Linked DNA regions of Saccharomyces cerevisiae S288C. The protein of the gene in region 2 purifies or fractionates together with the protein of the main gene of each other region. This does not show direct contact. Each region holds a gene or a part of one and is shown on either strand. Other genes may lie near its edges.

The links. The genes of interacting proteins can lie anywhere in the genome.
Region 1: the proteins of CYB2 (region 2) and NDI1 purify together in Saccharomyces cerevisiae (affinity purification with mass spectrometry, with the first as the bait; one large-scale study listed by BioGRID). This does not show direct contact.

Annotation. Positions count from the first base shown.
Region 1 is NC_001145.3:27,766-31,653, forward strand, and holds NDI1 (NADH-ubiquinone reductase (H(+)-translocating) NDI1), read right to left. Parts: upstream 2,043-3,888; coding exon 501-2,042; downstream 1-500. Other genes in the region: Rag GTPase GTR1, read left to right, coding at 1-97; YML119W (uncharacterized protein), read left to right, coding at 2,846-3,888.
Region 2 is NC_001145.3:165,033-170,325, reverse strand, and holds CYB2 (L-lactate dehydrogenase (cytochrome)), read left to right. Parts: upstream 1-3,017; coding exon 3,018-4,793; downstream 4,794-5,293. Other genes in the region: YML053C (uncharacterized protein), read left to right, coding at 572-1,210; YML054C-A (uncharacterized protein), read left to right, coding at 2,545-2,703; signal peptidase complex subunit SPC2, read right to left, coding at 5,000-5,293. UniProt on the Saccharomyces cerevisiae protein: Catalyzes the oxidation of (S)-lactate (L-lactate) to pyruvate with subsequent transfer of electrons to cytochrome c. Is involved in the utilization of (S)-lactate as a sole source of carbon for growth.

The DNA of each region.
Region 1 (3,888 bases), 140 kb from region 2:
GTCCAATATGGTGTGTTTTATAGTGTTGAAAGATATGAATATTCCACAAGAATTAGTATTGGAAAACATCAAAAAAGCCAAAGAGTTTTTCCAATGACTGAGGTGAGTAGACGAAACATTCGGCAATTGAGTGTTTGCGGGGCATAAGAATTATAAAGCTTTCGTTACGTATATACAAATGGGATTTGGCGTATAAAATAAATAGAGAAACATAAGAGGAAGAAATAAATAATCACAGATATATATATAGGACAATGGGAGGAAAAAGCTGAAGTGATCAACCAATCTTGTCGGGGTTTTTTGCTTGTGCATTAGTCAAGCATCATTTCGAAAAAAGTGGGAATATATAAATAATAAAACATCATGTGCATTTTTTTGTGCGTGTGTGTGTGTGTTAGGTTTTGTTTAGAGGGTTTTAGAAAAAAAAGGATGCAAACTCAGGAAAAAACGGTGCCTACCACCTTTTTTCCTTTTTCCAGAAAAGGGCATGTTAATTTCATCTATAATCCTTTAAAAAAGTCTCTTTTGAAAAATGCTAATTTAATCCAGTCGAAAAAGACCTTTAATCTCGATCTTGCAGATAGAATCATGGACAAGTACAAAATTCTCCATAAGTAGAAGGTCATTAAGCCACCACCGGTGTAAAATGTTCTCTTACCGGAACGTATGGTTGCAATGGCCCTTTCGGATCCCAGGTATGCTAAGGCACCTAAATCGTTGTATTTGAAAGGTTTAAAGTTGTTCTCCTCGAACAAGAGATCAATTTTATCCTTTCTTGAAGATAGATTCTTTTGGAAATTTGGTATTTGAGCCATTTTATCAAAATTCTTGGCCAAATATTCGGCCTCTTGGTGCGCTACTTGGGCGGTTGGTGGCAACCCAGCAAATGCATTGTCACCAATGGCGAAAATGTTGTTGCTGCCTTTCACCTGCAAAAAGTCATTCACTGCCAATCCTCTCTTGGACGAGTTTTGCTCAGGAATTTTCTTGAAAAGGTCAGTGATTACCGGTCTTGCCTTGTTACCCGTGGCCCAAATCAAAGTACCGTATGGAATAGTTTCTTCGGTTATTTTACCGTCTTCGTGTTTGGTCTTTGCCAACAATTGCTTTTCTTCAACTTTGGCGACAGCCGTTCTCAGATGTACTTTGATCGAAGTGTTTTCTAAATGTGATTGCGCGTATGATGAAAGCTTTTTCTCAAACATATTCAAAACGATGGGCAGAGCTTCGACCAAGTGAATTTGGACTTCTTCGGCCAATGCAGGGAGAAACTTTCTCAGGTCCTGGTGAACATAATCCTGTAGTTCACCAGCGGCCTCTACACCAGTAGGCCCACCACCAACCACGACAATGGACAGTAGTCTTCTTCTTTCGGGATCACCCTTTGGCAATAAGTTAGCCTTCTCTAGATTGGCGGCAAAAGTTCTTCTTATTTCCAAAGAGTTGGGAATTTCCTTCAGGAAATGACCGTAATCAGTGACCCCAGGAATACCAAATGTGTTAGGTTCCGCACCTACAGCACTGATTAAATAATCGTACTTAATTTCAGCAGGTTCTGCTTGATGCAGCCCTAGATGGTTTTCAGGTTGGTATAGCTGGCTAACGGCAGATAATGATTTTATGGTAACGGTATTCCTGTCGGGATTGATAGAGGTGGCTTCTGCCTCATAGTAGGTAACGTTCCCCTTTTTCTTGAGAGCAAAATTAACGATGGGCTCAATAATTGACTTTTCGTCTACTGTCCCAACTGGTGCAGAAGGTAACAAAGGCGTAAATAAGAAATAGCTTCTAGGAGAGATGATGGAAACGTTGTACTTCTTGGTGTCAATGTGCTTTAAAAACGAAATAGCTCCCCACCCCGAACCCAGTATCAGCACGTTTGGTTTGTCGCTGTGCTGAGGGTCAATGACTTTCATGGTCTTAAAAGATGTAGGACCTGCTCCGGAGTTTTCCACCCCTGTGGATCTGGTGGAAGCGAATCTGACTAGCGTATTCGTCGAGGTGAGCAACCTCTTGTTACTATACAAATTCTTCGATAGCATAGTGGTTTTTAGTTTCTTCTCTTGGGTAAACGTGTAATTCGATGATGTGATGAAACTGACACCCTACCTGAAACTCCTCAATTGGTAGTTAAAACTCCTTCCCCACTATGCCCTATACATCTTATATATACCCTGTCGACGTTGCAAATACCGGCAATAACCAAGAGCGCTAAGGGGGAGCACTCTTATTGTGGTTACCCGGACGTTCAATGCCTTCATATGATTGGTCCGAATGAATAGGTCATGAGAAAATGCATATTTTTGAGGCATTTCAGCAATGATCGGCAATCTGCACATATTCGTATTGTTTCCCTGAGTAAGTTATTTGCGGAAAGAGACATTCTATTGCTTTGGAGTATTTTGTGGTCTTCGACAATAAAGCGAAGGAATAATAGGTTCGTTGCTAGCGACAAGCAACACATAGTTGTAGTGATGCTATAGCAAAGAAAGGTCACAGATTCATTATTGACCTTTTAAATGGTGCCCAGTGGCAATTGCCGTTTTAGCATTCTTTAAATGCGTAGTATATGAGTTTTAAAGTGCTTTGTTGTTCACGTGCTTTTCACGTGTATGATTACTTAACCGGGTAGCGCCGGTCTTTAATATGCTTTCCAGATTAGGAAAGAACATAAATAAAAACACAAAATAAGAAAGTGTCAATCATCCGCATTGAAAGAAAGAAAAGATTTTTTTATCCCTCAATTGTACATGAAAACAGAGACCTTTCAAAACGTATTTTAACATTCTTTTACTCTTTTCTTGCACCTGCAGCCTTAGGTCAGTAAGAAAAAAAGTAGGTAGCAATGAGCCCAAGTCCATCAGTGTCGCCAAGAAGGACGCTCAATAACAAATCATCTTACATCAATAACAGCGGTGGGCTGGTCCTGCCTCCTACGCAGTTTAATTTGAATCAGCAGCCAGTCCTGAGCTTCCAACAAAAAGCGACTTTCGATTCCAACCAGCAGTTTTTCTATTATCCAGAGTCACCCACAAAAAACCTGAGACCAAGGTTTAACAGTATTTCGCAGGTTAATAAAGGAGTTAATGAAGACCATTATACCGGGGGCGGTAGCAGTAATAATAACAGGCCATCTAGATATACAAATACCATGGGCGCTGCAAACACCAATGTAAATTCCCATCCGCATCATCAGTCGGTGTCGCATTTAAATTCTAAATCTCTTAAATTCAATCAAACGAAGGAAGTGAGCAGCATAAATGAAATTATTTTTCCTTCCAGAACGTGTACAAAGAAACGGTATTTTACCAAGCCAATTGATTTGTATGGTACAAGAAGTAGCACTAGTGTGGCACCTAAGTTGACGAATTCTCCCACGAAATCAAAAACAAATTTCAACATCAAGAAGTGCATCTTACCTAGGTCCGTCGTTACCACATATAAATTACCATCTCCAGTGCACGAAACGATAGACGATATATCCAAAAAAATCATAATCCTGCTAATTTCGTTGAAGTTTGAGAAAAACTATCACTTCTTGCAACCTATTCAATTGTCCACAAATAGTAAGACACGGATCTCAAAATCACTAGACGAATTATGCGGAGTGCAGCTGACATCAACGTTACGGCAACAAAAGCAGCTGCAAGGTAACAGCAAGCCCGTAAAGAATCTCCCTAATTCCAATGCGAAGCAGAGAGCCGGGGCCAGTGTTTCCACAAATGCCAACGAAAGCTTTGAATTGAGTTTTGATGGAAAGGCAATGGATAGATCTGATATATTTCGAATGGTAGATTCTTTTAGCATCGCCATTTCAGATGAAGATGAGGAAGATGAGGAGGAGGATAGCTTTCAGCAGAGAAGTGCGAACAACAGAATCCTCCCTGC
Region 2 (5,293 bases):
TTGCGTGGGTGTTGCTTGTTTGTTTGCTGTTTAAGTATCGAGGAGATGTTGAAAAATGTATCGGGGGCCTCGAGGCGACACCTGCTAATGTTTACAATTTTCCCGATTGGGGTGCTAGAGGCATACAGTGGGCTACATGGCACAGCACGGCAGTGCAGAGTGAGAAAATATGACTTCACGCTCGAGGCGAGGCCACGCTTTCGAAGCTTCGAATGCCACTACCTAGACCATTGCTGTTTTGTACCTTCACGGTCCCATTAGAGACATTTTACTTAATGCAAGATTGCCATATCCGTTGTCATGGTACCAAACAGGGTAATAATTTCTAGAAATCATGATACACGTATGACATCTGGGTAACCTAATCCATCTGGGTAACCGATTTTTCTCTCCCTTTGCTTTCTCTTTACCACTCAGCTGACTTTATTATTTTTTTTATATTTTTCATTTTGACAAAATTATATAGTTAGGAAGAATACAATAGGACTGCGACAGAAACAGATAAGGGCTCTTTTTTCTTGGGGTTGGCTGCTTTTATTCATTAATTTAAGACTCAAGTGTGCTGCGTGAAATGCTCTCATACTATGAACACAATACTGCGTTCCAAACAAACAATTGCAATTCCGGTAGCAATGCCGCCACTACATACAACAGCGACGCCAATAATGATACGATCATGAATAAAAGAAAAAATGACCATTTCGAGTTTGATACACACACTTTCTACCAAAGATCGAAGAGAACAAAACGAGATTCTGTAAGTACAAAGTTTTCGGTCGGTTCCGGGTGTGCTAATCTTAATAACAACAACAACAACATCATCATCAACAACAACAACAACAACAATAATAATAATAATAACCATAATCATAATAACAGCAATAATACTGCAACCTACAATAATATTCATTATAAAAAAAATATCGAAATATGTCCCCTGAAACCGGTTAGTATGCACCACACTATGAACAGCCGCTTACTGAACGAATCTGAATTTTATTCTGAAACAGAAGAGTACATGATTCATGGTTATTTCGGTAACACTAATCGCGACATAACAGGCACGAGTCCTACTGGAAGTGCTAGTATTATACAACACCAGTATCATCTTCTACCATCCCAAAGTATAATTGCATCACAAGCACCCGGTACTGCCATGGCCGCGTTGACTAACAACAATATCGCTAACGATTACATGGATATAGATTAATAAGAAAAAAAATAACTGCAGGAAATGAAAATGAAAATGAAATGGAAAAAAAAAAAAGAAAATTTAACCTATTTAAAATAATACAATGTATTACATATTTATCACGACTGTTTACGTATCTCTACTCAATTTACTTTAAAGGCTAAGTGCTCATTCTGGCTACCTTACATCTATCTATAAAACGTTCAAAACTCAAACCTCACTAGGCCTGGAGAAAAAGGGAAAAAAAATATCTCCCGGGGGCGAGTCGAACGCCCGATCTCAAGATTTCGTAGTGGTAAATTACAGTCTTGCGCCTTAAACCAACTTGGCTACCGAGAGTGACTATTTTGATTTACTTCAAAATAAAGTGTCAGTACTACCCTTATTATATGAATGTTGTCGTAACCTCTCGGATTATATGTAGACAATGTTATGGATATATAGAATATAAGTGTTGGAATAAAAATCAACTATCATCTACTAACTAGTATTTACGTTACTAGTATATTATCATATACGGTGTTAGAAGATGACGCAAATGATGAGAAATAGTCATCTAAATTAGTGGAAGCTGAAACGCAAGGATTGATAATGTAATAGGATCAATGAATATTAACATATAAAATGATGATAATAATATTTATAGAATTGTGTAGAATTGCAGATTCCCTTTTATGGATTCCTAAATCCTCGAGGAGAACTTCTAGTACATTCTACATACCTAATATTATTGCCTTATTAAAAATGGAATCCCAACGATTATCTCAAAATTCACCCATTCTTCAATAAGAATTTACGAAATAAATCCGGTAACCATAAATCCACAGAGCCTCTTATATTCACTCTGTTCCTCCATCGCCTATTGAGAAACGTTGGAATAAAACTCTAAAAATATCATCTAGTTAGTTAGTTTTTATTTTACCAGTACATTGTCACTTGCGGAGGGAGGATGACATAAAGATTGAGACGCAGTCATTTAATGAAGTTTAAACGCGGGTACTTGATAAAGTAATACGATATTGAATCATGACGTATAAAGTGAAATGAACGAATGATTACGTAAAAATGTCGATTTTCTCTTGAGAGACTCCCATAGCCTCTAAGAGGCCTTCTACTACGTTCCATATATCTAAGAATGGGGCCATATCCAGTGGAATCCCAGCAATTATTTGAGAATCACCATTTCTCAGCCGATATTTTAGCAGAATTACTACCAATATCAGGGGGCAATAGTTGATCGCCTACTTTAACAAAAAATGTTGCTCACGTATTAACACAGGCAACAAAAAGGATATTACGCAAGAACGTAGTATCCACATGCCATCCTCCTTGTTGCATCTTTTTTTTCCGAAATGATTCCCTTTCCTGCACAACACGAGATCTTTCACGCATACATCGGAAGGATCACCCCCCACTCAAGTCGTTGCATTGCTAACATGTGGCATTCTGCCCATTTTTTTCACGAAAATTCTCTCTCTATAATGAAGACCCTTGTGCCCTGGACTCTGTAATACTTGAAACTACTTCCTCAATAATCGCTTGGAGACCTACCCCCACGCTTTTCAAACAAGGCGCTAGCAAAAAGCCTGCCGATATCTCCTTGCCCCCTCCTCCTGTTCGAGAGAACTACGACCCGACCAATAATAATGTCATACAAGAACCGCCAAGAACCAACTGCTGAACCTTAGATCTCCAATACTTTCAGTTGGAGTATGTGAATATATAAGTACCTGGTCGACTAATCTTCTTGCATCTTTTCGTATTCTTACATCCTATGTCGCTAATACAGTTCCCGCATAGAGAAGAAAGCAAACAAAAGTAGTCAATGCTAAAATACAAACCTTTACTAAAAATCTCGAAGAACTGTGAGGCTGCTATCCTCAGAGCGTCTAAGACTAGATTGAACACAATCCGCGCGTACGGTTCTACCGTTCCAAAATCCAAGTCGTTCGAACAAGACTCAAGAAAACGCACACAGTCATGGACTGCCTTGAGAGTCGGTGCAATTCTAGCCGCTACTAGTTCCGTGGCGTATCTAAACTGGCATAATGGCCAAATAGACAACGAGCCGAAACTGGATATGAATAAACAAAAGATTTCGCCCGCTGAAGTTGCCAAGCATAACAAGCCCGATGATTGTTGGGTTGTGATCAATGGTTACGTATACGACTTAACGCGATTCCTACCAAATCATCCAGGTGGGCAGGATGTTATCAAGTTTAACGCCGGGAAAGATGTCACTGCTATTTTTGAACCACTACATGCTCCTAATGTCATCGATAAGTATATAGCTCCCGAGAAAAAATTGGGTCCCCTTCAAGGATCCATGCCTCCTGAACTTGTCTGTCCTCCTTATGCTCCTGGTGAAACTAAGGAAGATATCGCTAGAAAAGAACAACTAAAATCGCTGCTACCTCCTCTAGATAATATTATTAACCTTTACGACTTTGAATACTTGGCCTCTCAAACTTTGACTAAACAAGCGTGGGCCTACTATTCCTCCGGTGCTAACGACGAAGTTACTCACAGAGAAAACCATAATGCTTATCATAGGATTTTTTTCAAACCAAAGATCCTTGTAGATGTACGCAAAGTAGACATTTCAACTGACATGTTGGGTTCTCATGTGGATGTTCCCTTCTACGTGTCTGCTACAGCTTTGTGTAAACTGGGAAACCCCTTAGAAGGTGAAAAAGATGTCGCCAGAGGTTGTGGCCAAGGTGTGACAAAAGTCCCACAAATGATATCTACTTTGGCTTCATGTTCCCCTGAGGAAATTATTGAAGCAGCACCCTCTGATAAACAAATTCAATGGTACCAACTATATGTTAACTCTGATAGAAAGATCACTGATGATTTGGTTAAAAATGTAGAAAAGCTGGGTGTAAAGGCATTATTTGTCACTGTGGATGCTCCAAGTTTAGGTCAAAGAGAAAAAGATATGAAGCTGAAATTTTCCAATACAAAGGCTGGTCCAAAAGCGATGAAGAAAACTAATGTAGAAGAATCTCAAGGTGCTTCGAGAGCGTTATCAAAGTTTATTGACCCCTCTTTGACTTGGAAAGATATAGAAGAGTTGAAGAAAAAGACAAAACTACCTATTGTTATCAAAGGTGTTCAACGTACCGAAGATGTTATCAAAGCAGCAGAAATCGGTGTAAGTGGGGTGGTTCTATCCAATCATGGTGGTAGACAATTAGATTTTTCAAGGGCTCCCATTGAAGTCCTGGCTGAAACCATGCCAATCCTGGAACAACGTAACTTGAAGGATAAGTTGGAAGTTTTCGTGGACGGTGGTGTTCGTCGTGGTACAGATGTCTTGAAAGCGTTATGTCTAGGTGCTAAAGGTGTTGGTTTGGGTAGACCATTCTTGTATGCGAACTCATGCTATGGTCGTAATGGTGTTGAAAAAGCCATTGAAATTTTAAGAGATGAAATTGAAATGTCTATGAGACTATTAGGTGTTACTAGCATTGCGGAATTGAAGCCTGATCTTTTAGATCTATCAACACTAAAGGCAAGAACAGTTGGAGTACCAAACGACGTGCTGTATAATGAAGTTTATGAGGGACCTACTTTAACAGAATTTGAGGATGCATGATTATAGCCTAGCTTTAAGGCTACTTTAAAAACTTTTTATTTATTCATACATATATATTATCGAACATTCGTATAACTTAATATCATTCAAAAAAAAAAAAAAAAAAAAAAGAAAACATATACACATATATATTTATGTTTATAGAGAGAGAGAGAGAAAATTTGAATTTTTGAATCATTTGCAAAGTTATATGTTTTATACATTATTTATTCATTTTTTTTGGTGTCGAGGACATTGTGCTGTTCAGAGAACCACTTAAAATACGCATCGTTCTGTAAATATCCACTTTCATTAAAAACCTTATTCACTTCTAATTTTGCCTTCAACTCCTTCTTGGAGTTTTCTCCCTTTTTTTTCTGAACAAGCTCAACCAGATATAATGGTTCGTTCTTTTCGAACTTTGTCTTTACATATATTTCCTCCTTTGTACCTCTTCTCTTTCCCACATAAACAGTCCCCTTTTCAATAAAACGAGAGAAATACCAGAAAAGTAGCGAGAG